Linked DNA regions of Schizosaccharomyces pombe. Changing the gene in region 2 together with the main gene of any one other region gives a genetic interaction. Each region holds a gene or a part of one and is shown on either strand. Other genes may lie near its edges. The genes, in order: lin1, SPOM_SPAC3H5.11, SPOM_SPBC15C4.06C and cwf19.

Region 1 (7,457 bases), on a different chromosome or scaffold from region 2:
CAACGCAAGGTAATGATTGCTATGTGAGAATGACTGTGCAGTCTTGAATAAAAAACCAAACACAACATAATCATGTCGATTTCGGTGACTTCTCATAATGATGTCTCCAAATTAGAAAGAAGTATGTTTTTAAAATAGAAATAGACCTCTAGCATATTTTGAAATTGGGGGGACTCAAATGCTTTAAAATTGAGTGAGTTAACTAATCTTTACTGTTTTTAGTCGGAGCACACTCCCATATTAAGGGAATAGGTCTCAATGATAATTTAGAGCCGAAGGAGTCAAGCCAAGGAATGGTAGGGCAAGTCAAGGCTCGCAGGGCTGCCGGTGTAATTCTCAAAATGATACAAGAAGGCAGGATAGCTGGAAGAGCCATATTGATGGCTGGACCCCCTTCAACTGGTAAAACTGCTATTGCAATGGGAATGGCTCAATCTTTAGGTAGTGACACACCATTTGTAACACTTTCTGCAAGTGAAGTGTACTCTTTGGAAATGTCGAAAACAGAAGCCCTGTTGCAAGCCTTGCGAAAAAGCATAGGTGTCCGTATTAAGGAGGAGACAGAAATTATTGAAGGAGAGGTTGTGGAAGTTCAAATTGATCGGTCTATTACTGGCGGTAATAAGCAAGGCAAGCTTACAATTCGCAGTACCGACATGGAAACGGTTTATGATTTAGGAACAAAGATGATTGATTCCCTCACAAAAGAAAAGGTTTTAGCTGGTGATGTTATTAGTATTGATAAGTCAGTGGGAAGAGTTACTAAGCTCGGTCGTTCATTCTCGAGGGCAAGGGATTATGATGCTATGGGAGCTGACACTCGGTTTGTTCAATGTCCTCAAGGAGAAATTCAAAAACGAAAGGAGGTAGTCCATACCGTCTCCTTACATGACATTGATGTTATTAATTCACGTACACAAGGATTCTTAGCTTTGTTCTCAGGTGATACTGGTGAGATTAAACCAGAAGTACGTGAACAAATTAACACCAAAGTTAGTGAGTGGAGAGAAGAAGGAAAAGCCGAAATAGTCCCTGGTGTACTTTTCGTTGATGAAGTTCATATGCTAGATATTGAGTGCTTTTCTTTTTTCAATCGCGCATTGGAAGATGACCTAGCTCCTATCGTTATTATGGCTTCTAATCGAGGAATTACTCGTATTCGAGGTACAAATTATCGTTCCCCTCATGGCATTCCAGTTGATTTGTTAGATCGTATGCTGATTATTTCTACATTGCCCTATTCCCATGAAGAGGTAAAAGAAATCTTGAAGATTCGCTGTCAAGAAGAAGATGTTGATATGGAGCCTTCAGCTTTAGATTACCTTTCCACTATTGGTCAGGAGACTAGTCTTCGCTACGCATTACTTCTTATATCTTCATCTAATCAGGTTGCTTTGAAGCGCAAAAGTGCTACGATTGAGGAGTCCGATATCCGACGTGTTTACGAATTATTTTTGGATCAAAAAAGAAGTGTTGAATATTTAGAGGAATACGGAAAGAATTACATAACCGAAAATGAGTGGTCGGCTTCAGGTGCACAAGATAATGCAGTTGCAATGCAGGAAGATTAAAAGCACTAAAGACGAATATTTTGTTATAGTTAAGAATATGAAAGTATTAAATAGCAAGTCTTTATAAAGGTTGCAAGACAAGTTTAATTTAGACTTATTTATCGAATTATAGTTTTCCGTTAATTCAAAGGTACAAGCTATAAGTTCTGTTATATAATGAAATAAAATAGTTTATTATCCACTTTGACTATTTCTTTAAAGAAACTACATCGCAAAAGCAGATATTGTTAGGATACATCCATTCATCCATATTTGCTAATTGTATAAATGCTGCATGCTTGGCATCCGTAAAATAACCTTCATTACTCCAAGCCTGTATTTGGCTTGCGGTATAAGGGCCGTACGTCTTATCGTCAAATTCCCACTTAAAGTTGTACTGTGAAGAATTTGAGTCGTCGTAACTAACAGGAGAAGACCATGAATTTGACGTGAGTTTTTGATAAATTCTTTGAAGAGATTCTCTAGTTTCCGAGTATATATCTTCCTTTCCAATTTTATCCTCTAGAAAAGTTAGACCAGCAGTTATAAGTTCTATTAATTTTTTCCGAAAAGCGTCAGCACTTTTCCTTTCAGGAGAAATGCCCTCTGCGGTATTATTTTTCTTTTTCTTATACGATTTTTTGTTACCACTTTGTCTCTGCAAAAATTCTAAAATACTTTCATCTCTCTCCATTCTTGCGATAAAAAACGATAACGCTTCAGGAACCGTGGAAAAAGGCAGTTTACTAAATTCTTCCAATTCTTGATTCCTTCTTCTGTTTTCCATTTCCTTACGCTTCTGCTCCGCTTCTCTGGCTGCTGCAATGCTTTTTTTATTAGAAACACTGCCATTGAGCCATGCATCATACTGAGACTCTGGGTCATAATTTTTTCGTATGAAATTACCATTTTCGTCAAAATCACCCTCCTCCATATCTTCTTTTAAGTTAAAGGACATTCGTTTTGGGCTTGAGGGAACTGATATCTCACTGCCTTCTTCATCCGCGTCGAGGTCGTTAGCCTGATTTGTATCTTCTTGGCCTTCTATATCTTCATATCTTAACTTTGAATACTTTCCGTTATCGTCCTCATCATCAGAATCGTCGTTCAAAACCTCTTTATTTCGCAAACCTTTATGTGCTAATCTTTCAGCATCGCCATTTTCAATGAAATCACGTCGCTTTTGCGCTTCATCATTTGGCAGAGTACGCTTCTCATCTTCCGAAGTATCAGAAAACATATCTTCCGATTGCCCTTCCTTCTTCTCTTTATTCAGAATTTGGTCTTCATCTTCTTCAGATTCAGATTCATAATATCCTGTGAATTGAATGTTAGACAGAAATCAACAAATGAATTTGCATACCCTCTTCTTTTGTCCTAGGACGTTTTCTCCCTACATTGCTTACATCGTATTCAAAAAAAACATCGTGAACATCACCCACTGTACTCGAATTGCCAGGGTTTCTGAGCGTACGCTTCATTGTTCACACAAAATGTAGTTGCAATTGCGAACTCGTTATGAGTGCAAGATTATTAAGTGTTAAATCTGAAACAATAGAAAAAATAAAATGATTATACAAAAATAAATATTACCAAAAAATAATGCACGACGAATAATAATCTCATCCTCATGCTATAGTATTTTTTTTACATGCAGTTATAAAATTACGTAGCTGAAAACATCTCTGTTAAAGAACGTTTAGCAAAATAAAGAGATGAAGCATTATCTACTGACAACGAATAAGTGATTGTGCGTTATACCAGTAGTATATTGATTATTGATTCTTTCTTCAAAATAAAAAACTACTGAAAATTAATCCTGTATGTACAAAACAAACGTGAAATTTTACAATTTCAAAATCATATAATAATATCGCCGTACGTAAGAACGGTATCATCCTGAGAGTGACATTGCATGTGAAACTTGGTATAGATTCGCTGTATAACAGTAAAATAAGACATCAAGCTCTCATTCAATTCAAAAAATTCTATTATGGAGTGACCTTTTTCCATTTAATTTGCATTTTATCTTTAAGATATCTGCATTGTTATCAAATATGTAATTATTTTTCTATTTACCTTACTATATAACAAGCTTCGTATAAGTGTGGTATTTGGAATCCCATAGTTTCTTATTTTTCGTTATCCTATTTACTGATAACTGTTGGAGCACGAAGTAAGGTCATTCATCTAAAAGCAAACACTGTAGTGACTTATCAAGTTCGGAAAACTGTTCTTGTTTATTAAATTGCGCATTTTCTTTCATCTATTATTTTCTTATTAAACCTCAAGATTCGTTTATTATCTGACCCTGTTTGAAAATTAATAATTGACATTCAATAGTCCCTGCTCAACCGTGGACATCCATTCTTTACTGTCTCACAATTTTTTGAAAGCTACCTTCTTTATCTATTAAAAAAAATGAAATTACACACATTTTTGCTGTTATCGGTTTTATGTTTTGCTGGTTGCATTCAGCAATCGTTACAAGCTGAAGTATATGGAAAAGTATTAACCAATACTATCCTTCCCAAGATTAATTTATTGTCTTATGATACCAGAGCCAGATTGATCTCTAGCAATAAAACGTTTGAGACAGTAGTGGAGAGAGATGGTAGTTTTACATTTCCCAATGTCCCTGATGAAATATATTTCTTACGGTTAGAAAGTATAGACTATGAATTCTCCGAATTTCACATCATAATCAATGAGTCGATCGTCTACCCTTACTATACTTCGCCTGCCGAAAAACGTCCAGCTAGTTCGACCGCTAAGAATACTAGTTATCCTATTAAAGTCCGTGCTGTTCTAAAACGCGATTATTTGAAGGAGCCAAGAAAGTTTTCCCTGATACGTTTATTAAAAAGCCCAATGATGTTGCTTTCCTTAGCTTCTGTTGTTCTTGTATTTATCCTTCCAAAACTTAACATTGAAGCCAAGGCATTGGAGCAAGCTAGGCTTGCAGAGGCTGCTGAGAAAAAAACTGCTTGATTAAGCTACCTATAATAGTTAGTGAAACTTATTTTACTTGGAATAGGAACTTGTCTTGCAGAAAAAAGGGAAAAAAGTGGACCACAATTGGTCAACATTTAGATTTCAGTTTTTTCTTTGACTCGATAATTATTTGTTAGTCAAAATTCTATTCGGGCATTAAATCATGCTCAAATGTAGAAAACTATATCTTCAGTAGATAGAACTCGTAGTCAATTAATAGAATTCGTTTGCTAAAAGAATTGGTACTAAATGGGAATTTCGAAAAAGATGAACAGTTGTTTAATTTATTTCGCTTATTGATTCAGTCATTCCCGTTTAGTAATATTAGCTTCTGAAAAATTACCTTCACCAAATTTTCTTTAAAGTCGCTAGTTTGTAAACTTGATGCCTTTAAATGCAACAAAAGGTAAATATAGATGCAAGGAAAATAATAGAAATTTAGTGTAAAATATTTTATCAATTTTTTTTATTTACTTTTCACACCAACCTTCTTCGTTTTTATTTATCCATATATCAACAACGAATTTGACAGTGTAATGTAGTTCACTATATGTTGACATTACGTAGCACGAAGCTAACCAAACCAAACCCAACCACTTTTTTTTTGCTAATTGTATATTTAATAGAATTAGTCCTCGTCCTAGTTTAAAAATTTCGTGCAATTTTCCTGTTTTTATGTGGTGTTAGCGAAGGACTTTTTATTTGATTTACGTTCTGAACTTCAACAAAGTGTATGGATCTATGGTTTTGAGAGAGCGACTTAGCCACATTTTATTCCATGAGAAGGTGGGATTTCTTCTTCTTTGCTTATTATGGTATATATCAAGTGCCGTTACGTATGTTTTTGTTGTGCCTTTATAAGGTGAAATGGTGGTCTGATTGATTCTAACTATTGTAGTAATACAACTTCAAAAAGTATTTTCAATGAATTACGCTGCCCGGTTACATTGACCTTCCTTCAATTTGGGTTCGTTGCATTTTTCAGTGCCGTTTGCCTTCTATTTAGAAAGCAATTTCTTGGTGGCACAGGTATTCAAAAACCCAGTAAATACGTTTTATATACGACTCTTCCATTAAGTATTTTCCAAATAGGAGGACACGTATTTGGAAGTTTGGCTACTACGAAAATTCCCGTCTCAACTGTACATACTGTAAAGGCATTATCCCCACTTTTCACTGTTTTAGCTTATCGCTTCATGTTTCGCCATGTTTACTCTGCCATGACTTACTTCTCCTTAGTGCCTCTAACATTTGGCGTTACCTTGGCCTGCTCTTTTGAACTGTCTGCTGATATAGTGGGGCTTTTGTACGCTCTAATCTCGACTTGCATTTTTGTCTCCCAAAATATTTTTGGCAGTAAAATATTTATGGAGGCAAAATCTCATAGCACTCACACGAAAAAACATTACAACAAACTAAATCTTTTACTTTATTCTTCAGGAGTCGCATTTATCGTTATGATTCCTGTATGGCTATACCAAGAAGGATTTGCCTACCTCCCTGAAGTCGGATCACCGGTTTTCCTAAATTTGATCTACAATGGTCTTTCTCATTTTTTTCAAAATATTCTGGCTTTTACCCTATTAAGCATAATTTCTCCTGTTGCATATTCCATAGCAAGTCTCATCAAGCGCATTTTCGTGATTGTAGTTTCCATCATTTGGTTTCAACAAGCTACAAATTTTACCCAAGGAAGTGGTATCTTTTTGACAGCTATCGGTCTCTGGTTGTATGATCGCAGTAAAAAGGGCAATTTATACGAGTCTTGTAAAGTAAAGGAGTTTGAAAAGGATGCACTTGAATTAGAAGAGCAAACAATGGAAGATGAAAAGTCCTATCCTTCTAGTGGAACACAATCACCATTTTATGGAAAGAATTTCCTTCCTCAAATCACCCCACGTCTTGATAGTGTGGTACCTCTTATTTCAGACTCCCCAATGACCCCTAATTCAGTCTATTCTAATGAAGGAGTTACTTCTTCTGTCTCGGGTAATGCTACACCTGCTTCTGTGCGTCAAAGTACGCAAAATGACTTTTCAAACTCCAACATACATGACAGGCGTTCCAGCTATACATTTCAATTAAACAATTTCAAAGCCCCTCAACCCTCTAGACTCTGGGCCACTGAAACTGTCCCAACATTGAAAATTTAATTTTATCAGGGAGCCGCAATATACTATGCCTTTATCAGATGCTTTCATTGCCCGTGTTTATCACTACATTAGTCAATCCTTGGCTCCGATCATCAGTATGGTTTTACACTTTTTGAGTTGCGGGATTTTCAAATACTTCATCATACATCTAAAAAATTATCGAATATCAAAGGGATAGAAAGAAGAAGAAATATATGAGCGTTATTGGTTGCTTGTTGAGGGCAAATTTAGCATTGTGTATAGTTGGACTTCTTATTAACTCAACACGAAAGCAACGTTAAACAATAAAAGCAAAATTAAATAAATAATCGACAGTTTTATTGTTTATCTTTGATAGTTAGGTTTTACACCATTCTTCTGTAAAACTTTTTATTTATTGCCGCAGTCTGTTTCTTCATTTCTTTGACTTTTATATTCTGACTTTGCAAACTTGCATACAAATTTACCTTAGCTTAGCTGTTCTTTTTTTTTTCTTCTACAGTCGTTTTATTCCTTTCTTTTCGCATTACATGATGATTGTTTGTTTCAATCATTATTACATACTCGATCCATAGTAATTTAGCACATGCTCGATGCTTATTTTTTATAATTGATACGAGTCATTGATCATTTACCTTACCACTGGTTGGTCCTTTTTTCCTCTCTTATATTATTTTTTCAACTCTTTTATCCAAGCTGGCATTGATTTGATCTGTTTTCTTCAAACATTAATTCCATAAAAAAAATTACACAAAAAATACTTGACAGGTTTGTAAATATT
Region 2 (8,773 bases):
TATAAGATAAATGTAATACACGCAATTAATCAAAATACAATGATATCCAAAAGTTTTGCTGCACTGTTTATAAAAATCCAGCCGGCTTTTGAATCATCTTGCTTTTTTATTTATTTACTTAACAGAATTTCCGAAAGGTAATTATTTGACATGGTAAAAGAGAGATGTGTTGGAAATTTCTAAAGATAGGAAGTAGTCATTTTAACATATCAGAAGTTAATATTTTTATGTATTTTATTTTATTTTTTTCTCAATGACATCTTTCATTATGGTTTTTCTGTATTTATTATATTTTTTTAATTTTAAATTTTTTTTTTTTTTTGTTCCCCATATTGGTATGCAGATAAAGGAAATTATTTCACACTTCATTTAAGCTGCTTTAAAACAGTCTAAATAACCCTGGCCATGTATTCCTAACATATCATAAGTAAGAATGTATATTAAGTATTTAACTAAATTTACTTCCTCTACTGATCTATTTAATTATACATATGATTCAAAGGTGCAAAATGCTTTAAAGCTACTGCTTCATTGACGAACAATTATATTCTACAGCAAATATGTGTAAAATGTATATATATCATCAGAAAGTATTTTGACATGTCTTACATTCTAATGAATTCGTTTGCAACTAAAGTCTATTTTCTCATCGGGATAAGGACATTCAGTCATTGCGAAACAAAAACCTGTAAAAAGTGAATAGAATATGACATAAATAATATTTATTTCTTTTCTAGTTGACATTAGGTTAAATTGCATCAAAGACTTAGATAGCCAACTTTACCGTAACTGTCAAGAAAATCCATTTTAGCTTATGTAGGAAATTGGTGAAATCCACCGCAATCAACATAAGATAAAAAAAAAAAATCTTTAAAAAAAATGCAAAAAATAAAATCCTTATTTCAGTCTGGTGTACCGCTCAACGGTTTTTTAGCTATTTTATTTCTACCTTTTTAGCTTTTGTTTACAATAGATAACGAAACCATTGAAATTTCATTAAATCTGACTAACGAATGAACATCTCGTCGTTAACAACATATAACATCTCATCGTTATTTATTTTTCAAATAGACAGTCACAAGCGTTCGAAACTTTTCATATGACACGAAATAGCAATTCGACACACTGCCAAAATGCCCTTCATCAAAGCAGTCAAGAGCAGCCCATACTTCTCACGTTACCAGACGAAATATCGTCGTCGTCGTGAGGGTAAAACCGATTATTACGCTCGTAAGCGTTTGATTGCCCAGGCCAAGAACAAGTACAATGCTCCCAAGTACCGTTTGGTCGTTCGTTTCTCCAACCGTTTCGTCACATGCCAAATAGTTTCTTCTAGAGTAAACGGTGACTATGTTCTTGCTCATGCTCACTCTTCTGAGCTCCCTCGCTACGGTATCAAATGGGGTTTGGCCAACTGGACTGCCGCCTACGCTACCGGTCTTTTGGTCGCTCGTCGTGCTCTTGCCAAGGTTGGCCTCGCTGACAAATATGAGGGTGTCACTGAACCCGAAGGTGAATTTGAGCTTACCGAGGCCATCGAGGATGGTCCTCGTCCTTTCAAGGTTTTCTTGGATGTTGGTTTGAAGCGTACTTCTACCGGTTCTCGTGTCTTTGGTGCCATGAAGGGTGCTTCTGATGGTGGATTGTTTATTCCCCACTCTCCCAACCGTTTCCCTGGTTTCGATATTGAAACCGAGGAGTTGGATGATGAGACTCTCCGCAAATATATCTATGGTGGCCATGTTGCTGAATACATGGAGATGCTTATTGATGATGATGAAGAGCGTTATCAAAAGCAATTCTCTGGTTTGATCGCTGATGGTATTGAGAGTGATCAACTTGAGGACATCTATGCTGAGGCCTATGCCAAGATCCGTGAGGATCCCTCTTTCCAAAAGTCTGGTAAGGATGCTGCTGCTTTCAAGGCTGAGTCACTCAAGCATACTCAAAGGAAACTCACTGCTGAAGAGCGCAAGGAACGTTTCAACGCCAAGGTTATCGAGGCTGGTCGTGCTTAAGTATATCTTAAACCATTTTAATAGTATGTCCTGTTCTTTTCCGAAATTTATAGATTTCAGTAGATTTGTAGCTCTGTACATGATTTTTAGATTTTATCACACGTTTTTGGTAGTTTTGCATGACGATAACTTTGTAAAATCAATTAGCTTGCAAATTAATTAGGTCAACAAGTTTTTGTCAATAGCTCTACATCGTATAAGGTATATCGTCTTTCCCAAAATAAGATTTTGCAAGTTCATATTGTTAGGAAATGGATTGTTTTCAAAGATGAAATATTATAATAATAATTGCAATATGCAGCAGTTAAACTGAAAGCTATATTGAATTCCGCATTTACATTCGTCGATGTTTTGACTGACTGAAACACTGAACAAGTACACCTACTTGACTACAATAATAAAGCCATTATCATAAAGCACTTATCAGAAGTTTTTTTTGGTTAACAAAATAGAGTACTATTTTATTGTTTGTGAGACAAAACTCAATTAATATTTTCTTGTCCGAAATCTGCATATTTTCCTTGCAACACCCTTGGCCACCTCAGTTAGTCAAAAGTAAATCTCTTCGACTATTCTTAAAAGTTAAAAAGAAAGGCAATTAAAAAAAAATAATTAAAGTTCAAATATAATCCGCATTTACTTCTTTGAAGTCATATGAACTTTCCCTAACTTCGTAAATATTAAAAATTCAATGGACAAACAAATTCCCAAATTTGAAATTACCAGATCATCACGTATGTTTGAATTATAAGATTAGCCATTTTAATATATTAGTCTTGGACCAGTGCAAGTCATTTTTGCCAGAATTGGAGAAAGCAAATCAAACGCTACTAGAACATCCGGATTCACAACAGGACGTTCAAAATTTGTCAGATGAGAGTAATTATATAGAAATGGTAAGTTTCAGGAAAAAGATGAATTATGTGACTAAAAAAATTTCAGGATTTAGCGTTAGGTGTGCTCGAAAAACAACCAGAGAACTCCATATCAGAAGATACGGAAAGCGAAATTCAGGCAAATGAAAACCAGGGAACATTGGAGCATTTAATGAATCTTTACAATTCAAGGGATCGGGAGAAGGGAAACGAAGTGACACTAACAGACTTTCTGCACGAAAAATTAAGTCGTGCGGCACAAGCGGACTTAGAACATGAAGAATCCGCGAGCATTGATCAAGATGAAATGGTTGCAATAGAAACAAGAAAAACAAAGAAATAAAAACGACTAAAGGAAAATTTTTGTATCTAATGAAAATTCGTTATATTCTAGGAAAACTAATGAATCAATTTTTAAGTGTAATATACTAATTTTGGTTCCACATCAATGTACGTTTTATGCTTTCAAACCAGTCCGCGTCTTCTTCTGTCGAATGAACTGTAGGAAATGGATACCGCGAAATGCGGACAGTCAAATAATCGCCTGGTAGCAGTTCAGTTCGATTCCTGCCATCGAAGGAAATCCTAAGAAAATGTTAGATAAAAAAACATATTTTATAGAAAACATCTGAAGCGGAGCACTATTTCATTAACTTACCAACTACTTTGTTGGGCATCCTGAGGAATTACAACGTGAAGAGCCATAGAATCTGGTACGTGAATGGGTCGTAAACTAAGGGAGTGTGCACATATAGGACTAACAATCATAACGGAAATATCTGGATGACATAAGGAACCACCAGCGGCAAGCTAGTATATAGTTAGTACAATATAAAAAATTTAATGGAATTGTGGCTTACTGAATAGGCCGTGGAACCAGTAGGAGTAGAAATACATAAACCATCTGCTTTGACGGTAGTGAGATATTTGGAATCTACGTAAAGCATAATGTCACTCATAGCAGTGTTGGGACCCCTATCGATGACAACTTCATTGAGCACGACTAAGGAATCAGTAAATGTGTGTGTTTCCGTGTCTGTGGCATGAAGTGACTGAGACAAGTGCTCATCGATATTGATCCATTGTGTACGATTCTTTTTCTTCATTACACGGCACTCAAATCGTGTACGAAGGTGGACGTACATTTCATTACAAATCTCCAAGATGGAAGTCTTGTACTTTTTGACATCGAAATGAGTAAGAAAACCCAATGTACCCATTGCAAAAGGCATGATTGGCGGTACAGTTCGTTGAAATAGTCGACTAGTATACAAAACAGTTCCGTCGCCGCCCAGTGTCAATACAAGATCAAAAAGCTGAGAATGCTTGGTACATAGCAGTGTTGTCCAATACTGAATCTTTTCAGTTTTTTCAAAGAGGTCCTCCATACTTTTTTGGATAAAAACGGTTATGTTATCTAAAGAAATTAACCAATATACAAACTCTTTGAGTTTTTCTTCTACTTCTTCGTCTCCAGGCTTGGAAACGAGCAAAATCGAAGTGATGTTGGGCTTGATGGGAGTTACATCTAATCGTCGTATTAGCAAATATCCGGGAATGTCAATATCAATGTTTGCTTACGAAGTTTTTTATTAATTGTACGAGTTTCCCAAACTACGTCTCGTAAAGCCTCCTGCTCGTTGATCGGTGCCTTCCTGTGCATCACCATGCAATCTGAAACGTATGGATACAACTGTGCATGAACGGAGCAATATGGAAAGCTTCCGTGATAATCATTTTCCGTTGTGGGATTTGTTGGTAAGCATGAATCATCGAATTCCGCCATGAATGCAAAAACTGCTGGGTCGCCAACAAAAAGTATCTAAATGTTTAATTGAATTGAATCACACCCCAACAAATAAATATTATTCTTTTTCAAATTAATAAAATAAAGCCAAAATATATGTGTAAGCTCTGTAAAAAGCTAAAATGGCTGCTGCCAGTATGTGTATGTATATATACTCTTTCTATATAGAGACTTAAGGTCTTACGGAAAGTGGTGGATGCGTACGTATGATAATAATGCGTAAATTATTTCGGTAAATACTTAGTTTGAGAAAATAAGACAATGATTATCAGTGTTTTATACGTAAGAATAGTCTATTTAATTAAAGTATAAGATCAACACTGACTACAATCTCCTTTTAATGTTTGAGGGGCTGACGACCCTCCTAATCTGCTTAGTAAAGCAGTTTTGAGTAATAAAAAAGAGAATTTATGTCAAGCAAGAACAAACCAGTTTAATGGATTAGGATATAAGAGTGCTCGATGGCAAAACATTTATCGAAAAAATTATGTAGGAATCCAAAAAACCTGCAAATCCAGCGTCCTCCAGCTCAGATCAGCGCTAAAATATGTAAAGTTTTTGAAAAATGAAATGTTGTCATCCACTGAAACACTTTCTAATTGATCTTTGGTACTTTAAATCAAAACCAAAGACAACGTTAAAAAATATACAATGTAACCAAGGATGAAAAGAAAAAAGTTTGAAGTTGAAGGTTTAAATGGACAAGATGAGGTTTGAAGTTATAAGTTAAAGTAGACAGCTTCATGTTCGAATAGTCTAGATATACATTTGCAGAGATAAGCTTAAACAGATCTGAAAAAATTTGTCCCGAGTAGATGCGTTTGAATACATATTTGATGTGTTTGAACGAAATATAAGAATAGTTCTCAATTAAATAAAATATTAATGATATACGTTTAAACGGTTTGAGAGCCAAATGATCTGTTTCAGAACTCTTCGTTCATCTTATCGAATGCAGAAAAGCTAAATGAAAACGACTGCGTCACGTTTAACCATTTTTTTTAAAAGTGAGAAACTTTTTAAATTAAACTGTGAAAGGGAAATTTCGCTTAATAAACTAAAAGTTATCAACGATTATACAAAGAGTTTTTTTCCAATACCAAAGTACTTTCATTAACTGTACTAAGTCGTGATTCTAATTTACTCCTGAGAGCGAACCTTAGCACCGGCATTGGTGACCTTTACACCGAGAGCACGAGCCTTTTCAACAATTTCAACACGCTTACGAGCAGAGACGTTACCAGCAATCTCAGCAGCATAAGTCTTGTTATGCATCAACAAGAGCTCAACATCTGAAACGTTACGGACTAGGAAAGCCTTCAATCCATTAGGCATGCAGTATCTGGTCTTCTTGTTATTTCCATAACCAATCTTGGGCATGGAAATGGTGCCACGGAAACGACGACGAACACAACTATCAATACCTCTGGGCTTTCTCCATGATTCTCCAACACGCTTGAAGCGGTCAGACTGATGGCGCTTGAAGGGCTTGGTGCGCTTCTTGATGATATTGACAGCAGCCATTTCTGTTGTGTGGGTGGAAAAGTTAGCACTTGTGTTGTGAGTGTGTTTTGGAACGAACGTGACTGCTTTTTATGGGGATGGTAGCTGAGTTTTCATTTTTTGCGCTATAGTTCCCAGATTTGACATGTTGAAAAAGAAGTTAATAATATCTCTATTTAAATGATCAATAACATTATAAAACTAATCATTCTTCATTTTCATTTCTGTAATATCCCGTATTTAGCTTTGCATATCAAACTGATTGCTTTTCTTCAATGTTTCCTCCGTAACGCGAAATTGTTTCACTACCTTTAAATACCGAGCTTTTTGTAAGATACGCAAAACATACTTAACAAATTGAAAAATAACGCACACATCCCTCTACTTTGATAATAAACTTAAAAATGTATGCGCTACATATCGATATAATATTTAACGGTTTCCTCAAGCGACTTCAATTTCCGATCCACGTGGCCGTTAATCCCTAAACTTGTTTAGTCAAGCGACTACCGCTCTCGCTGATCACTGACATAGCGTGTACCTTCCCGCCTCTTCCCGCTCAGTTGGATTTCTTCGTTACACCAGCTTTATTTTACACAGTTTCCTTTCTCCTCCCTCCTCTCCGTTTCTGCAATTTCCTTACCTTTTCATTAAAGGAAAAACGACAAACTTATAGTAATCTCTATGTGTTTACATACTTGATGAACCCGTTGTTTCCTTTTTCCTTGCTTAATCCATCAACGATGTGGTCGTCCTCGCAAAACACTTCATTCGTTTGGGTGGTGATAGCGACAGGTTTCCTTTTTCATTTGGTTCTTTTTGTACTGTCATACGTGCTGGGATGGCCCTTTACAAATTTTGGATTCTTCTCCGTGTATGGCCTACGACACACGTTCCGTAATGGAGACTCGGTTTTCATCTCGTATGTGGCACTTCGTCTGCATCGTCCTTCTACTTCCAAGCCCTATTTACTGCGCATTGTAACCAAAGGCTTGATTTATACTCCATCACTTTCCAGTGCTAATGATGCACAATCGGCTGGTAAGAATGAGAACCAAAGATCTCGATTGGTGTTTAAAGCAAAGCGTGAGGAAGAAAAAACGGAGGAGAAATTTTGTCATGCCGTTTACATGTCTAACTTACTTCGCAATGTGGAGCAAAAATGGATTCAGTTTCTTCACAAATCTTGGATGAAATGGCTTCACATTAGTATCCAAGAATCTCAATTGACATTTCCCTCTGTAGGAACATTCGAGTTGGGCAGTCTTTCGATGGAAATGCGTCCTGAAACCAATAATGTCGTTGGATATGAAAATCCGTCTGATCCCGAACTTGTATCCTCCTGCGTAATTTGTAGCATTCGCTTGGCAAACCTGGTTTACATTGACCGCCGGCAGAGCAGTCAACAGATTACCGATTATTTGGACTTAAGCTTACAAACCTATTACTCTTTAGATAAATCAAACGTTCCTGACACGATTCTGCGTCTTCGTTCTTCCATCAAAGTGGGTGTGTTATATATAGATCTAGATACTCCACTTTTTGAGCATTTGTTAAATTCAAATTCTTCCGGAGGAAATCATTCTTCCTCCTCCTCCTCCTCTGGAAAAGTTCATGTGATGAAGGATAATGTTGAAGCGGCCTTATTAAAGTTACAGGAAGCTCAAATCCAGATCGGTACATTGAAGCTTTGGAAGAGAAATGTAACGGGATGTGGAGCCACCTATATCTTAAATGGTAGTGATTTTGGACTGAATTTGATTTTACTGAACAAAAAGAATCCTTCCCACAGAATGTTTTTCCCCGTAGAGGCATGTGTTCATCAAATTTTAGCCTCTGCTTTGTCTTTCAACGTCGAAAGTATCACTCCTGGCCATTCACCACACGTGCTCCTTAATATTCCTTTGGTAACTATAACGTGTCTGACTTCAGCATTGGCCGAGTACGCTCGTGATGCTAGTGATCTTCATCAACTTCAAAATAGTATTTTACGAGTAAACAGTACATTGACCTCTCCATCATTGGATCTTCGCCTAGAGTTGCTACACGATGTTTTGTCTTGTTTCCCAAAAAAACACGATTCGACTTCAAGAAAGAAGCCAAAGTTTCCTTATCAATACTTCCCTTACATGAAATTTTCTGTATCTTTGTACGAACCTGCTTTGCGTTTTTTGATTGCATCAAAGTCCGATTCCGACTTTCCTGGAATGCTAGTTGCTAATCTTTCTTCTATGTTTTTGGACATCAAGTATTCTCCATCCTCTGAGCATATATTTGAAATTGAGTCTTCTCTACGCTTAAGCTCTAACAAAGTTTTTTACCATAATCCGAAAAACAAAAAATGGCTAATCAACACATCCGACCTCATTACCTTCTCATTAGGTTATATTTGTAATAACGATCACGGATCGTTAAATATGTTTTTTCGTGATTTTCAAATACGAATTGAAGAAGAAGAGGTCATTAACTCGTTGAAAAAGTTTATTATTCTCACAAAGATCAAATCTGAACAAGTCGGCCCTCGCAAGCCACGTACCAAATTAGTGGAACCGCTTCTTTTTAGAATACCC
Region 3 (8,219 bases), on a different chromosome or scaffold from region 2:
GTTCATGAGCGCAGCATTGACTCGGATCTTCTTTTAATTCATGTACTTCATTTACTTAAACAACATCCTCATCTTAAGATTATAATTATGAGTGCAACTTTAAACGCCGAAAAGTTTCAGTTATACTTTGAAGGAAGTAATTTAATCACAATACCTGGTAAAACATATCCAGTGCATAGATTTTATTTAGAAGATATACTTTCCCAGTTTGGAAATGATAAGTCGTTCGGTAACGCTGCCGGACAGGATGTTATAGAGGAAGATGACTATGAAACCGACCAACAAGATGCGAGCATCTCAAACAAATCTGCGGAGGATGCCATTGTTGAAATGAACCTAATTCCAGCTTGGTATAACGAGAAAGCCATTAACTATGGTTTAATCGTTTATCTCTTAAAGTATATATTCACTGAAGGAGATCCGAAATTCAGTAAGTGTGTATTAGTATTCTTACCTGGTATTTCGGAGATCCTTCGTGTAAAATCTCTTATCGAAGATATGCCTATGTTTCGAAATCATCGTAAGTTCTGTATATACATGCTACACTCTACACTATCCTCTGCGCAGCAACAGTCCGTTTTTAACATCCCTCCCAAAGGGTGCCGCAAGATTGTATTGTCGACAAATATCGCTGAAACTGGTGTTACTATTCCAGATGTCACTTGTGTGATTGATACAGGAGTACATAGGGAAATGCGTTATAATAGTAGAAGACATCTTTCTCGGTTAACTGATACATTTGTATCTAAGGCCAATGCCAAGCAACGTAGTGGACGTGCTGGTCGTGTTCAGGAAGGTATCTGCTATCATTTGTTCTCAAAATTCAAACATGATACCCAATTTTTGTCTTACCAGACACCTGAAATTCTGAGACTTAATCTGCAAGAAGTTGTTTTGCGAGTAAAGATGTGCCAAATGGGTGATGTACAAGATGTCTTAGGCAAGGCGTTAGATCCACCTTCCTCTACCAATATTATTCGTGCTTTAGAAAAGCTTCATCAAGTGGGAGCGCTCTCTGAAAACGAAAAATTAACAAAACTCGGCAAATTTTTGTCGCAATTACCTGTTGATGCAAATTTAGGAAAAATCTTGGTTTTGGGATGCTTCTACAAATGTGTAGATGCCGCTTCTTCAATAGTAGCCATGTTAACAATCGGTTCACCTTTTAGGAAATCTGTTGACAATGAATTTTCTGCAAACAAAGCCCGATTATCATTCGCTAAGGAGAATACCAGGAGTGATTTAGTTTTGATGTATTATGCTTACTGCGCTTGGCGAGAGATTTGCCTTTCACCTTTAGGCCCTGATGAAGATTCTTTTGCCAAAGAAAAGTACTTAAATTTAGAGGCTTTAAGTATGACAGAATCACTAAAAATCCAACTGCTTTCTGAGTTGAAGGATATGAAACTTTTAGGCGCTTCGGATGTTGATACTTGCAAAAGCCTAAAACGTTCAATATGCCGGCGTTTTGCCGTTATCCCCAAAGAGCATGATATTAACTCAGGAAATGCAGAAATTCTGTGTGGCGTAATTGCTGCATCTCTGTATCCAAACATTTTAAGGTATGATTACGAAAAAAGACAGTGGTCAACCTTGAGTACCAACAAGCGTGTTAGAATTTTAGATGTATCGGTGAATAATAGGTCTGAGTTACCTAACATGCCGTCCAAATTCGTTGCTTACACGAACATGATGTCTTCCACTCGAGCTAGTGAGTATGTTAATGAAACTACTATGGTTACTCTTCGCCAGCTTCTAATGATGTGCGGCCTTAAAGTCGAAAATAGAGTATCAGTTGGACAAGCAAAGCTTGACAACTTTACAGTATATTTTGAAAATGTTTACGTTTCGGCATCTTTAAGTATTTTACGTCGCTTTATTGAAACTTCTCTAAACGAATTTTTTGCTGAACCTGATAAACGCTTATTGAATTCCCATCTTGAGGTTATTGTTAACATAGTTTCACGGTTAAATTACGGAACCAAATTTCAGAAACGTCTCAAAGATTAATGAAAGTATCAAAAATGAAATATCAGAAAGTTGGTTTTCACATATCTGCTTAATGACAGGCAAATTTTCTTTCCATTTGGAAAATGTAAGAATTATGTTGGTTGAGCATAAATGTGTAAAATGGAGTTATCTAAGGCTTCATTGCAGAAACTGATGGCTTTTCTATTTTATGAGACACAATTCAGAGTATTTAATTTTCTCAAATCCAAAAATGTCAATTATTATAACTGTATATCGTTTTCTTAGAATATCAAAATAGGTCTCTAAATGAAAAGAAAAAAATATTTACATATGCAATTTAGCATTAGACCGGCTAATTTGTAAAATACTTAATAGTTTTTTTGTACCTTCATCATAAACTAGCAAGCAACATGTGTATTAAACTTTTTATAGTAAACAATGACATGTATAGTAAGCTTTTATATAGTACTATAGAATTCATACGATAACACAAATAATAGATTAGAACGATGAGAAATAGATAATTAGCCCATTAAAAGATGCAAGAAAATTATGAACTTAAGGAAGCGTAAGTTTTCTTCGTCGTAGGAAGAACTGAACAATAAGTATGAGTATGCGTATGCGTATAAAGACAAGCAAAATATTATAACGTAAATGAATGAGAGTCGAACAAAATATGCTAATATAGATTATAAAAAAAATTATCCTTATGAGTAGAAGTACAGGAATTACTCAACCAATGGAGAAAATTCATAAATATGCAGTTTAAACATTGTCCTCGGAAGCATTTTCCAACATGTTTGTAACTGACTGTTTACATAGGGGACAAAGATCCGAATTTTTTAATAAATAAGGATCAATGCAAGCCGGATGAAAGATGTGATGGCATGGCAGTTCTCGATAAAGAGGACTTTCTTCTGAATACTCACACAAGCAAATAGTACACTCCCTCTGATCGAAATACTTACTCCCTCTTTCGGCTGTAGTAACCACATTTCCCTGTCCATCAAAACTTTCTGATTTGTCTAATTTCCAATCCTTTTCATAAACCAACTCATCATTAGGATTGGCAAGATGAGGCCCCGAAAACATTCTAACGGGCAAAGTATCGAGCATTTCTTTAGTAACACGATTTTCTGGTTTGTTTGGTCCAATATTCACAATTCTTTCTTGAACAGGAATTCCATGACGATTTAAGAGTCTATAAAATCCATTCATTGCACCAGAAAAGTGAAGGCAAATAAAAAGGCCTATGACACCGATTAAACCCAATAACACACCAATGAATATATAGAGGCCAAGTAGCTTTGGTTCCTTGCTGATGATAACGCCCAAACGGGCCGTAGCATCAATGTTTCCAAAATATTCGACTAATGCTCCACCATCCTGCACCGAATTTAAAGAAGAAGCCGAGTATTCGTTGAGAATCTTTTCAAAAGCGATGCCGTTTTCGTAAGATATGAGTGCCATTGGTAATGTTTCAAAGGTAATCATATCTACAGCATCTTCAAAGTGGTCAAAATTGGTTAATGAATTACTAGCAGTGCTTGCATTATAAAATAGTATTGCCTTTGCTCTATCCTGGACAGCCTGCAATACATGCATTGGAGCACAATAGTCAAACGGCGCGAATGCGATTAAGCCAGAACTTCCCATATTAGAAACATCTCTAAACCATACGCTTCCCTTGGTATCAACTTGAAGTGACTCGGTGTCATTGCAGCTACCATAAGGAGTAGTTTTATATATAATTCCACGAAAATTATTCTTCAGTTTAGACAAGCTTTTGTAATACTCATTCAAAAGGACCGTGTTGTCAGAGTGGAAGTAAAATGAGACATTTTTTGGAAGATTTGAAACAACATTCTTGTTGTTTTTAACAATAAGAGTAGTTATGGTTAGCGGAAAGAACTGATTGTATTCGACAGCATTCATAATAATAGATGAATTTCCGTAATATGAAAGACCAGAGCTAACATAATTAGATATTGCAGTATTTGGAGCATTGCTGGAATAAGCAGGGTAATAATCATCATACAAGGAGATTGAACCAGAAGTAGAGGACGACCTTGCAGAACTAGTACTAGAATCTGAATAAGATTTGGGATTTGATTCACTGGAAACAGAATCCGAGTCTGATTCACTAGAACTGGACATAGAATCTGATTCATCATGACTAGATCTTGAAGAAGAAGTGTGTTCACTAGCATGCCCACTAGTATGGCCTCTTCTTAATGATCTAAATGAATAAGAGATTGGAGTTGGCGAGATACTTTCGTCCTTTGGCATTCGATATCGCCTTCTTTCATTCCATAGTTTACGAATTGCATTAAACAGCCGCTTTCTCCTCTTTACCTTATTCTCTTGTGAAACATAGCCTCTGTAAACTGCATTGCAATCCAGATGATCAAGCAACTGGTTATTACACAGATGCATAAGAACCTAAACAAACTTTAAGGCACGAAGAAACACAAAGAACTAGGAAACAGGAGGTTTCAAGATTACCAAAAAACAAACCTGCTTTGATACCAATCTTTCTAAATAATGAATCAAATTTAATGGTAATTGAAAGGTAAGCTTTCAATCAATAAACAGACGTTGAGTGGTGATATCTCTAAAGCAGGAATTGTGGAACACAATTAATGAAATTTTTTAAAGGAAATTTCAAAAAATTAGAAAGTAAAAAGTGTGATTCTTTTAACTTATACTAGCTCAAGCTTGAAAACCACAAATTGGTGGTGGCTAAGTAATGAACATCTTGAGACATATTGCGTACATAGTACACAATACATGTGATATACATGTGGAAAGCAATTGTTATTATATTTTCACTATGAGCAGTATACTTCAGTGAAGAAGTTTTTTAATGAAGGAAAAACTATGAAACAAACAAAGCATAAAGTGCAGGGCGAGAAAAACAATCGTGAAATAAAACAGCTTATTTGTGTTTGGTGATTCGACAAGCGCTTTAAACAGGTGTGAGAAACTAAATAATAATAAATGGTAATTATAAGAAATAAAAAAACGAAGAAGTGATACTTCAAAAAGGTAAGCATAGCTGGAGAATTAATGATCAGAGAGAACTATAATAAATAAATAAAAAAAGGATCGCTTAGCGATCAATTAAACAATAAGATATCCTCCTTAAACATAAGAAGCAATTTACTAGGAATACGTTATAGGATTTAATGTTGTTTGAGTATACTTTGTAAACTAGTATAAGGATATAATTATTGTGATATGCTACCTCGTAATTTAGTATAATTTTATGGAGTTCGTTTAGTACAGCGGTTACATATTTGTTTAAGAAGGCTAAGATATAATATACTATATAATTTTATATTTTACTGTATTAACTTACAACTGAACTAGGAAAGGGTAGTTTGTTCGGTTGAGATATTTCTTCAATAATTGTATTTTCCTAAAGATGTTTTACTCGTCCTGATCATTAAAGATCAGTAGTATGGATCCGACAGTTTTGAAATGAAAATAACAATAATTAGTAGTGATATCTAATGTAGCTTTGATCTGGCTTAGCAATACATTATTGGTAAAGTATGGGGAAATGGATTATGTAGTTTGTTATGAGAAATAAAAAATGTGCACCAAATTAATCTCAAATATCCTTTCTTTGCGTAGTAAATTTTTTTATTTGTTTTAAACACATATTAACTGGAAGTCATGTTTGCGCAAACTTTAAAATGCTCATCTCAGCAAATGAATAACATTGTAGTTTGAGAATAATAATTACTTTTGAATACATATGTTCAAGTCCAAGAAGGCTGCCATTCAACTCTAAACTGAACATTTGCTTATAGAAGCAAAAATTGTAGTAGATACCAACTTCGCTCCGAACTCTATATAATACCGATTTTAAACAACACTTTTTACCAGAAGTTAATTAATCTTATATATTAATTTCTATTATTCAACTAGCATTATTCCAAGAATTGGAATTATTTACTTTTCGATCTTAGCCCTTATATACGTAAATAACAATGCTACTTTACCACGAATACAGAATATAGTCCACCTCCACCATCCCTATTTTAGTTGGCCTAGTGGTTTCTTGAAACACTGGATTAAAGTATTAAAAGTTAAGTCCATAAGCTAGGGAAATAAATTTCCTATTATTTCCAATAAGTCGAACGATAAATCAAGGAACCACGGATTTGAATCAAGTTGCAGAAAGACATTCTTTGCTTTACAACATCGGTCAAATAAAGAAAGAATGAGTGACATTAACAATAATGAGCCAGCTGAAAATATTGAACAGCCCAAGCAAGAACCAGAAGATGGAAATAATTCGATGAGTGTTGATGAACAACCCGAAACGTCTTCCACAAATCTGCCAACTGGTGACAATCTCGCCCCAATGAGTGTAGAATCCCCTGCACATTTAAATAACGAGGATTCTCCCAAAAGCGATGATTCTAGAGAAAGGCATGGCTCGAATTATGTTATAGAACCGCATTTAGAATTGCGAGATATGGCCAAAGACAAAACACTTGAAAATTTCTTGGCCCAAATGGATGATTACTCTCCCTTAATTCCAGATGTGTTATTGGATTATTACCTCAGTTTATCTGGATTTAAATGTGTTGACCCACGCTTAAAAAAGCTTCTTGGTCTTACAGCTCAAAAATTTATTTCTGATGTTGCTCAAGACGCCTATCAATATTCTAAAATCCGAACCGGTAGTAGCAATGCATCTTCAACTACGTTTGGTGCGCAGAATTTTGGAGCCGGAGGCGCTTCCGGGATTGGATCTAGCGGAAGAAGAGGTGACCGTGGAAAAACCGTGCTCACTGTAGATGACTTAAGTGCCGCTCTTAATGAATATGGAATTAATTTGAAAAGGCCCGATTTCTTCCGTTAAAGACTTTTTATCCCACTAAGGCCACTTGTGTGAGACCCTTACTTAATGCATTAGTGGAACTTTGTTTCTGAAATCTCATTTTCCTATAAAATTTTTGTTTACTAATTGTTGTTAATTCTAACCTTTTACACTTTTTTGAAATTATTATGTATTTTGAAGATAGCACATTCGGTTTGGCGTGGCATTGTTGATGATCATAATTTCAAAACATTTTCTCATATCGATCCATTTCAGCAGTAGTTTTCATATGAGGGATTATTTATCTTTATATTTTATAAAATTTATCATATGTATCATAGTTACTATTTTCTCGCTATCACTTGCTGAATTTGTTTTACACTGATACTCTCATTCAACATTGATGTAGTAAATGTTTTCTTCGTTATGCTACTATCTGCATTTTGAAAAGCACTTCTGAAAGTGTCAATTACGCGGTCGACAGCTGCCTCATAGTATGTCAGAACCTAACATGCTTCTAATTATAATATGCATTGTATATAAAGTAAAAATTAATATAATTACAGTTACCAGTACTCTTTCAAATAATGTAATGCTTGAAACCTTAAACAAATACAGACTTCTCAAGAAAAATCACTGCCTTCATCTGGCAAAGGAAGATTATCAGTTCCTACAAGCAAACATCTTGTTTTGATTGTAGGAAGGAAAGTACTTGGTATTCCTCTTTTAATTAAGTCTAATATTACCCAAAATTAAATAAATTGATTATAATAAATTATAGTTTATCCTATTCAAAGGATCCATTCTGTTTATTTAAACATTATAGCGCTGATAGTTCAAAAGTAAATGGTAACGTTGGTAGGACGCGCTTGACATTCTGTGTTGAAAATGGAAATACCATTAGAGGTAGAATTTGCCCGAATCGGTGAATTCAAATAAGCCTGTAACTCGCAAAGTCCATCAGAAGTTCCACTAGGTCCATACCCACAATCGATAAGGGGATAAACTTGCTGGTTGACGAGATGCCGTACATAATATTTGCTGTCAGAACAAAAGAACAACTCAGTAATTAAATTTCCAGCGAAGGGAACGAATGAAGAAGTTTTCTGGGAGTATGTATAAATGTTTTTATCAGTCGGCAAAGGATTTTGCGGAGTAATGTCAGGAAAGAATCCCAAAGCAGCTTCCACAGGAATGATATTAGAATCATGAGTAAATGCTAAAAATACTTTACGATCGAAGTCGGGATTAGTCACATTACGAAGTGAGTCTGCAAGATTATTTATATAGGCCCCACCTAAGGTTGAAGCCCATTCGGAAACAGGACCACCTCCATATGCCTGATCGAGATCTGAGTCATATTCAAAGTTCAAAAATTCTGATGGGGTAAATATGGAACAAAAATCACTGT
Region 4 (8,484 bases), 2.3 Mb from region 2:
AGCTGAAACAACTCCTTCGGCTGCGGCTGCGGCCCGTGCACTAATAAACTTTGGAGAAGGTGTACCAGTATTTGGCTTAAGTGGGTCGAAAAGCGTTTTTGGGGAAGTGTCAGTCACAGCATTGCCAACGGAATCACTGGTATTTTGTGGAACAGCGACAGGATAGGTGTGGCTTCTCTGCACTGGTTTAGCTGAATTGTGTGAACCTTTATCTTTGTTATTTATTTGAGTGCCAGCTTTTTCAGAATGGTGGTTATTAGCAGCAGGATGGGCTGTGTCCTCTGCTACTGCTAAATGAGCAATTATATCATCCTCTACAAAAATATTGTCTAGCTCTTCGTCTGCATACATTTCAATTTCTCTTGTCTGTTCGTCATTTAATTCTGCAGCTCTACGAGGAGCTAATTGTTCTCCCTTGTTAACCAGAGGTTGATTGTTAACAGTCCTCGTGCTATTTAATGTTTTCTGTTTTTTTATGAAAGACTCTCTCGCTGCAGGATCTGTTTTACGGAACAAGTCACCGCTATCAAAGTGATAAGTGGGTGGTTTCATTTTTCCAACTTCTCTAAGATAGTATTTGTCATACATGCAATTTCCTAAACTGTTTCCAAAATTTCGTAGAGCGCGTTTTAAGGCATCTGTAGTGCCCTCTTTCTTGCATTTCTCAAACGCTGAAGCCTTTCCACGGCAATTATCAATAGAACCGTATCCAATATCTTCATGATAGGCACCATCTTTGATTGTCACGCGAACAATCACGCTCAAGCCAAGACTGATACGTCCATTTTCCTTATTTTCGTCCATAAAGTCAACATTAATGCTGCGTATCGACGAAGACCACCCATTAAATCCAAAAATTTCGTTCGCAAGCTCAATTGCTTTCCAAGACTCAATATAACTGACTGAAAAACCCCCAGGACCTGACCTTCTTGAAACGTACTCAGGTCCAAGCTTTCGAGTTAGGGAGCTTTGAAGAAAGTTAAACTCTTCATGAGAATACGCTGTGTTAAAATGGCCCTGGTCTTCTGATGCTACATGCTGTTTTTGCTCAAAAGACATCCCTTCTAGCTTATATGAAGCAGTATATTAGCTGTGTGCACATGGACAGGTACCAAGTAATAAAGAAAGATAAGGTAGCATAGCGAGTAACCACTTAATGAAAATAAAGATCTTACAAATCATCAGTAATGAATATTACTTAAAGAATGTAGATACAAAAATAAAAACAAAATTTTATTTGAATTAAAGGATTTTCGTAATTACTAATCAATTAATCCCTTGGTCCAATCGAATTTTTCAAAACGACTGCGAAACATATCTTCGCGTGGATCTTTTTTACCTGTCCAAGAACCTTTCCTTCTGATTACTTCAGGAGGAAGGTTTAGCATACTGGCAAATACCTGCCTAGGAACTTGATCGTGCCTCCCCCATGCCTTCTCGTCTTCCACGACATGCCCGTAGCCACCATCAATACTGAACCAAACATGAAAATAACCCAATTCTAATCATTAGTAAAATAAATGATTACGATTTTCCAAACATACCCTTAACCATCATTTTTCGAAAAGCCCATTTTCCATACTTCTTCGAACCTTCTAATGTATCAATAATTTTTCGATGTTGAGACCACTCCTCGTCAGAAGTAGACAAAGCTTCACGGAAGTAAGCAGGTGCAAGTGAGAGGATCCTTTTAGAGACTGGAATACACTCAATAGCTGTGTGCATATATCTTTGTGGTGAAGGCGCGTTTTCATAAAAAATAACACCAAGATTCATGGAATCAAACATTAGGGCGATGCATTTCATAAAATTCTAAAAAGGTTTGTTAGTTATTTCCTTTTACTATATTAACATACTCTGATTTCATCCCATTCATCCTCATCACAGCTGAGGGTATTTATCCGATGTCCTGTAGGAACAATTAAACAATGATATTTAGCTAATTCGGGTTGAGTTGGTAAAGAAACATAAGCACGATGACTTAAAGATATTACTGGTGCCAAAGGTTGTGTTTCATAATTTAGGCAAAGAGGACAAGTGTCCAAAACATGATTAATTTTTTTAAGATCCCCACCACTACTAATTTGAGCTAGACTGACGTCTCCGCGCTTCATTCGATTAGAAAGTTTCCCTGCATTTTCGTCCAAATAATCCAGATTGTTAGAATAAGTTTTATCCTTTGCAATCTGCTTTGCGTATTCATAATTCTGGCCGTATTTCCGTTGTTTATTCAACAATTTTTCTTCCTGTACCATCTCATCAATAGTAGGATCGTCGAAGTTTCTTTTTTTTGATGGTATGGTTGCTTGCGAATTAGAATTTTCCGAAGGGTGTAAAGAGTTTTCGAAGTCATCACAAGCTTTCTGATATTCCCTTTCTAAAGACTCATAGTTAGGATCCTTTTTAAGTTGAGCACGTAACAAATCAGCTTTTAATCTATTCAAATCGCTTTCAGTGGGAGTATCTTTATTTACAGAAGGGTCAGGTATTACTTTGTAGTATGTAGCGCCATTACCAGAATCTTTTCTAGTCTTAAATTCATCAGCACATCGTTTTTCATATAATTCGCCAGTAGGAACTTCTTTCTGAACTTTTCGAGTTCGTTTTCGAAGCTCTAACTCATCTCTTTCTTCCAAGGCAAAATCAAATTCTTTCAATGAACCATAACGTTCCAGAGCTACTTCTTCAACGGGGCGTCGTTGGTCTTGAGCCATGTCAAATACGCGTTTGAGCTTCATCATACGCCATCGAGAGCCATTATCACCAATTTTGTAATTAATTCCTGACTCATTAATTTCGGTTTCAAGCTGTTCTATATCTTTATGTTCTGTACTCGTCGAACTCTCATTCTGTAATGTTGCACCAACAAAAATTTCACCAGGCTTATTGGACTTTCGGTCAATAGGTTCTCTTTGTATACGCGAACCGAACGTACCAAAATCCAAACCTTGCAATGAATTAGTAAAGTCATTATTCTGTGGATTGTCTTTGGAGGATGGCATGGAAGAAGCAGAAGCGAATTTGGAGTCAAAGTATTCATTTTCAACAGGAAGTTTCTTTACCTCCAATGGCTCTTTACTAAATCTTTCATGCCTACTTCGGTCACCTGCTTCTCTAGAGCTTGGCCTTTCACTGCGATCATGTCGTCCATGCTTGCTCTCACGATGCCTAGAGTGGTGGTGACGATGCCTTCTAGAGTGATTTGTTTCTCTGTCAGTTTCATTGAATTTGTGAGTACTGGTCCTATTTGTAAGCTTTTCCTTTTCCATAATGGACGTTATTTTAATATTAATTCATGAAATAAATAATTTTTAACAATAATTAGAGGCAAAATGGTGGGAAAAAGGAAATAATGTTTTTATTGTAACTTAACGATGGTAGTAGTACATTCGTTAAGTCAAGTGGTTCAGGCACTATGCAGATCTAAACAAGCAACGCAAATGATAGTTTTGCCAGGAGTTTAGTTTAGACAATGATCAGAATTCTCTTTTAAATTAAAAAAAATTGTAAAATATTGCGTTGAAATGGAAAGAAAAGAAAGTGAAACAATTAAGTTTGAAAGAAGGAGTATCGGCCTTTGCAGTATTCCACATTGACAGTGAAAGGCGATACAATAACTTTAGGATTCCAAAATATATACCACTAACTTCAAACAAAAACCTTTTAAATAACGCAAGGACTTTAGTAGTACTAAATTACCCATTGTTTATTTGAACTTCATTACAAATAAGTTGGAAAGAATAATAAAATACCTCGCGCTAACTACTGTATAGTGTGTCTTGCGCTAGTGTACAATGAGTTTATGATACTAGCAAAGCTACACAACAGCCACAGAAAAAAAAGCATTGTTTGTTTCCAAACTGTGACGATTTTTTATACCTGTATTTCCAGTGTAATTGGATCATTGCAATTATATTTTCTTTAGCAAAGTACTAAAGAAGTCTGTTTATCGCCTTTAATAGCATACAAGTTCAATCAATTATAGCTGTTAGGCCATCTAGGAAATATAAACAAAGGAAAGACCAAATTTTCATTCATATTTATAGCTATGACTAGTTAATGCATGAATAATTAAATTTAACAAAATTAAAAATAAAAAAGCTCTAATAAATGTGAGATTTCAGCTCTTCATGGATACGTGCAGTATTTATATATGACTAGACAGTGAGTTGTAGTGAGAAGTGAATAAGCGAGATATAGTGATGATCAATCTCATTTCGCTAGCAAAACATAATTGGAGTAACAGCAGCAAACGATTTATAAGTTGCGTTAAATCTCACCTAAATTCCAAACACGCGTGTTGAACTTACACATTCGCATTTTTTGCCATTTGCTTCATTTTTTCATTTGTTTTTTACATGAGCATATGAATGATTTAAAACCTAATGCCGAATTCATCGTACTATGACGACGATGGCGGTTCTTTTGAAGCGGCATCATATCCTTTTCAATTCGACGGTAGTCGTCGATTTCCCAATGATTTGCATCCAACGATGTTTGAGGGGGAGGAATCTAATCAAAATGGAGGCTCTGTGCTAATAGATCAAGCCTTTCAGGATATACAAAATCCTAACGTGAATTCAAACATGCATTTGGAAAATCAGTTCCAACACTTTCACGAGCCAAACAAGGAGTCAGGTGCTTTCGGTTCGTACAAAAATGATGATGTTGCTAAAGAAATAGAATCTAGTAAAAATCAGGAAACCGATGCAAAAAGCGAACAGGCACCTTTCACTGAAGACGCATCTTCATCTAATTATGCGCATCATAGAAGTGCTGATTCCCAAACAAAATCTGCGTTACCCCCAAATGTTCCTGCAAGTTCATCGCCATTACCTCCTATGTCAATTGCTATGAACATTGCTCGGAAAAGATCATGGCCTGCCAGTTTGGCTATTGAACGTGACAACACCGCTGACGCCCTCTTTTCTACTGAAGATGGTAGGGAAGAGCAATTTAATTTGGAAGGTGTCAAAACAAAATCAGGAAGAAAAGTGCATCGCCCTAATCATTTCGATCCCCTTGTAAAATTACCTACTAGACGACGTGGCCCAGGTCGTCGACCTGTGGTCGCATTAGCTATGAAATGTTCGGTTTGTCAACGACTTCAATCTCCACCAAAAAATCGCATCGTTTTCTGTGATGGTTGTAACACTCCATTCCATCAACTTTGTCATGAACCCTATATTTCTGATGAACTTTTAGATTCCCCCAATGGAGAATGGTTTTGTGATGATTGCATTAGGAGAAAAAAGCAAGCGCCTCTCGTAACTGGAACTACGGCACGAGAACTAAATCTGTCTTCGGAAGAGAAAAAGTCTTATCTTTTAAGTCTTCCGATCTCCCAACTGGTTGACATCCTATTATTCTGTGAGCAATTACATCCCGACATCCCGTTCTATAGTCCTAAAACTTCCACTATTGTCCAAGAGCTCCAAAGCAAAAGGTCTGCCTTTACAGCTACTATGAATGAACCTGTAACGGGAGATCAGTATCTAAGTCTAAATAATGGAACAGAATCACAATCGAAAACAACCAAGCATTCGACGTCCTTACCTTCGACCGAACCAGTTGAAGTGGATAAGCAATACATGGAGAGTGAAAAAATTCCTACCATAGATGAATACTTACAAGAATATAGCAATGAAGATGAAATAGTTTTACAAGTTTTAGAATCTTTCCCTGCTGCTGTTTCTTTTTCTACTATCACTAACACTATTCAAGCGTAAGTTTTCTATATATTTTCCTGACATCGTCAATTACTAATATTCTAGTAAATACTCGAATAGAAAAATTAAAAATTCGAACATAACTCGAAGCTTAAACAGACTGGTCCGTAAAAACCGTGTTTTACGTGATGCGAGGGGTAGCAGCTATGAACTGAACAGAACGTTTGATGCCGATCGACCATCAGTGCGCCCTGACATATCTATAACCGGCCCCATTCCTATCGATTGGATGCTGTATACGCCTCACACAGAGGATTTAACCGAAAACTTTTGTACTTATTATATGTTCGACGAAACTCCAATTGTTCTTAGTAGTATTTAACGAGTATCTTACATTCTGCATTGTTTGTTGAAGGGTATAACAACATTAATGATTTCAATTTATTCCAAGATTTAAAAAAATTATTAAAAAGTAAAGGTAGAGGATATTATAACTATACAGTCAGTAGCAAAAGGTTCTTGAATATGTTTAAAGACGGAGTTGTAAAGAATAAATAATTTTGAGTAATTCATGTAAATAAATAACAGATTTATGTTGTCCAAAATTTACGGTCCTAAAAATAAATTAAACCAGATCTTCAATATCTTGTAAACTTTGTTGGGAGAAATACTGGGATGATTTTTTTGCAACTCGCTTTGACCTGCGCAGTGACCTAGTTTCTTTTGTAGTTGAATGGAATGCGACAGGTGGCTTCTGATCTACATCAATATCAGCGGCTGGTTCTTTTTTCAAAGGTTCATTCATGTGTGATATACTATCAACAGGGTCCAAGTCCTCAAGTTTTATAAGTGATTTATCTTCGATGCTTTGGTAATACAAATCATCTGTAGGAAGGGAGAGTGGAGATAGAGGAGGTGACTCAGAAGCAGGTCTTTTTTTGACTCTTTTAATCGTTTTGACTTTTCTCTTAGTTATTGTGATGCCACTTTTTTCTTTAAAGGCGCTAGGACACAAGCCCTTAGAAGATAAAGTACACATATCACAGCGCCTTCCTCTTGGTAAACAGATTGTTTGCCCAAAACCGACAAGTGTATGGTTCAGCTCAAACCATAATTCCTTAGGCAGCCAGCTTTGCAAAGCAGCTCTAGTCTGTTCTTCAGTTTTCGTATTACACCAATGAAGAAGATTACATATACGATGTACGTGAACATCTACTCCAATTCCAACAGTTTTATTCCATGCAATACTCATACATAGATATCCCATTTTAGGCCCCACACCTGGGAGAGTCATTAGGTCTTCTACGGTGTCCGGAATATCTCCTTGGAACTTTTCTGATAAAATACGTGCCATTTGTTTCAAATAAATGGTTTTTCGGTTATGAAAACCAACTTTCTCGATTAGTTTATTTAGAGAAACTTCATCAATATTTTGGATATCTTCTAAACAAAGTCCTCCAGCTAATTTTTCTTTTAAGTTTCGCATGGTAGGACCCAGTACTATATCTTTTGTTTGGCTAGAAAGCATCAATGCCACCAGTGTTTGAAATCGAAATTTTTTTGGATCATTACGTTCTCCTAATGTATGACAACCCTGAACGTCTACAGGCGCTACGACCTTGGCTTTCATTTTACAAATTTCATCGTAAACCTCCCTCCAGTTCTCAGGAGGAGTTCCGTAGTCTTTACTCATTGCTTAACAAATACAAATTTGTCTGCAGTCTTGGCTAAAGATTTTATTTTCTTCAACAACTCATTTACTGAACTTTAGCGATATTACATCCAAGAAACAACGCAGGTGAGCGCAAAAATATTAAAATTTATAAGTGATTTGTTTTGAATACAATGCGGTAATAGTCTGACTTGGAGTTTCTCAATTTTATAAAAGAAATAATTTTTTAACTAAGCCATATATATGCCAAGGCGAAATTCTCCTACGCATTAAGAAACAAACACTCATTATATTTTACTGCTTCTTTTTCAAAAAGTCAGCTTAAGAATCATCAGAATGCTATGGGAGACATTACTTTAGGTCCTCCATCATACAGAAGGGAGGAAAGTAGAGTTTAAAAAAAAAACAAAAATTAGATTAATTAAAGATCACGAATTGCTAGTATTATGGAAACAAATGATTTTTACAGCAGTACTACAGCTATAGGGCAAATTATCCTGTAAGACAGTATTATTAATTTACTTTTGCTATAAAACAATATCCATACTAAAGAGGTAAATCAATATTAGCTTCGATGAACTCTTCCACATCACAAAGTTTCGGTACTTTATCTATAGCTTATGCGTACAAACACCGTAAAGCCCGTAGTAGGTAGTATCTGTTTGGAATTGGAGAAGGCCCCCTTATAGCTTGTGGTAGCCACCTTGCCTGCATTTTTGTCCCTTCATCACGATCAGCTCTAATTTCATGGACAACGAAATAGTCGCATTATGCGGCTTCTTCGTAGCCATTGCTTTAGTGCTATCATGTATTTCTATCATTACTCATTTGAAAAATTACAAAAAACCAGTCTTACAGCGTTCTGTGGTGCGAATTTTGATGATGTTCGTAAAATTGAAATTCTTTGACTGATATAGAAATGTACTAATGCTTTGCTAGGATTGTAATTTACTCTTCTGTATCGTTTTTATCGGTATACAATGAAAAAATTGGAAGTATTTTCGAACCGTTTCGTGAAATTTACGAGGTAGGTTTTTCTCATTTAGCCGTTGCCATTGAATGAAGTACCTTCCTTGGCAATCAATATATTGCAGATTTGTTTTAAAATGCTTGAAAAGGGGTTGACTGAAAGAGTGGTTTGGC

What was found.
Region 1: mutations in SPOM_SPAC3H5.11 (region 2) and lin1 together harm fitness more than expected from each alone (negative genetic interaction), as found in Schizosaccharomyces pombe (one large-scale study listed by BioGRID).
Region 3: mutations in SPOM_SPAC3H5.11 (region 2) and SPOM_SPBC15C4.06C together harm fitness more than expected from each alone (negative genetic interaction), as found in Schizosaccharomyces pombe (one large-scale study listed by BioGRID).
Region 4: mutations in SPOM_SPAC3H5.11 (region 2) and cwf19 together harm fitness more than expected from each alone (negative genetic interaction), as found in Schizosaccharomyces pombe (one large-scale study listed by BioGRID).

What each region holds. Positions count from the first base shown.
Region 1 is NC_003423.3:1,523,935-1,531,391, forward strand, and holds lin1 (U5 snRNP complex subunit LIN1), read right to left. Parts: upstream 3,183-7,457; 5' UTR 3,032-3,182; coding exon 2,914-3,031; exon of another isoform or gene 2,868-2,913; coding exon 1,759-2,867; 3' UTR 1,643-1,758; downstream 1-1,642. Other genes in the region: chaperone, AAA family ATPase Rvb2, read left to right, coding at 73-121, 223-1,571; protein Emc7, read left to right, coding at 3,972-4,541; pet2 (triose phosphate transmembrane transporter), read left to right, coding at 5,286-5,380, 5,443-6,697.
Region 2 is NC_003424.3:3,409,818-3,418,590, forward strand, and holds SPOM_SPAC3H5.11 (NAD/NADH kinase), read right to left. Parts: upstream 4,865-8,773; 5' UTR 4,680-4,864; coding exon 4,475-4,679; exon of another isoform or gene 4,422-4,474; coding exon 3,754-4,421; intron 3,704-3,753; coding exon 3,552-3,703; intron 3,479-3,551; coding exon 3,322-3,478; 3' UTR 3,237-3,321; coding exon of another isoform or gene 2,961-3,236; 3' UTR 2,915-2,960; coding exon of another isoform or gene 2,793-2,914; 3' UTR 2,753-2,792; coding exon of another isoform or gene 2,710-2,752; 3' UTR 2,452-2,709; downstream 1-2,451. Other genes in the region: rpl501 (60S ribosomal protein uL18), read left to right, coding at 1,134-2,018; protein new4, read left to right, coding at 2,710-2,752, 2,793-2,914, 2,961-3,236; rpl3202 (60S ribosomal protein eL32), read right to left, coding at 5,841-6,224; protein hob2, read left to right, coding at 6,905-8,773.
Region 3 is NC_003423.3:2,249,000-2,257,218, forward strand, and holds SPOM_SPBC15C4.06C (ubiquitin-protein ligase E3), read right to left. Parts: upstream 4,712-8,219; 5' UTR 4,408-4,711; coding exon 2,737-4,407; 3' UTR 2,412-2,736; downstream 1-2,411. Other genes in the region: dhx29 (ATP-dependent RNA/DNA helicase), read left to right, coding at 1-2,010; SAGA complex/transcription factor TFIID complex subunit Taf10, read left to right, coding at 6,203-6,850; SPOM_SPBC21H7.03C (multiple inositol polyphosphate phosphatase), read right to left, coding at 7,645-8,219.
Region 4 is NC_003424.3:1,100,479-1,108,962, forward strand, and holds cwf19 (protein Cwf19), read right to left. Parts: upstream 3,330-8,484; 5' UTR 3,270-3,329; coding exon 1,857-3,269; exon of another isoform or gene 1,813-1,856; coding exon 1,545-1,812; exon of another isoform or gene 1,502-1,544; coding exon 1,263-1,501; 3' UTR 1,207-1,262; downstream 1-1,206. Other genes in the region: DNA recombination mediator Rad52 (previously Rad22), read right to left, coding at 1-1,059; Lsd1/2 complex PHD finger domain-containing protein Phf2, read left to right, coding at 4,386-5,725, 5,775-6,051; nth1 (DNA endonuclease III), read right to left, coding at 6,295-7,362; transporter Hfl1, read left to right, coding at 8,089-8,225, 8,281-8,368. UniProt on the Schizosaccharomyces pombe protein: Involved in mRNA splicing where it associates with cdc5 and the other cwf proteins as part of the spliceosome. Involved in mRNA splicing.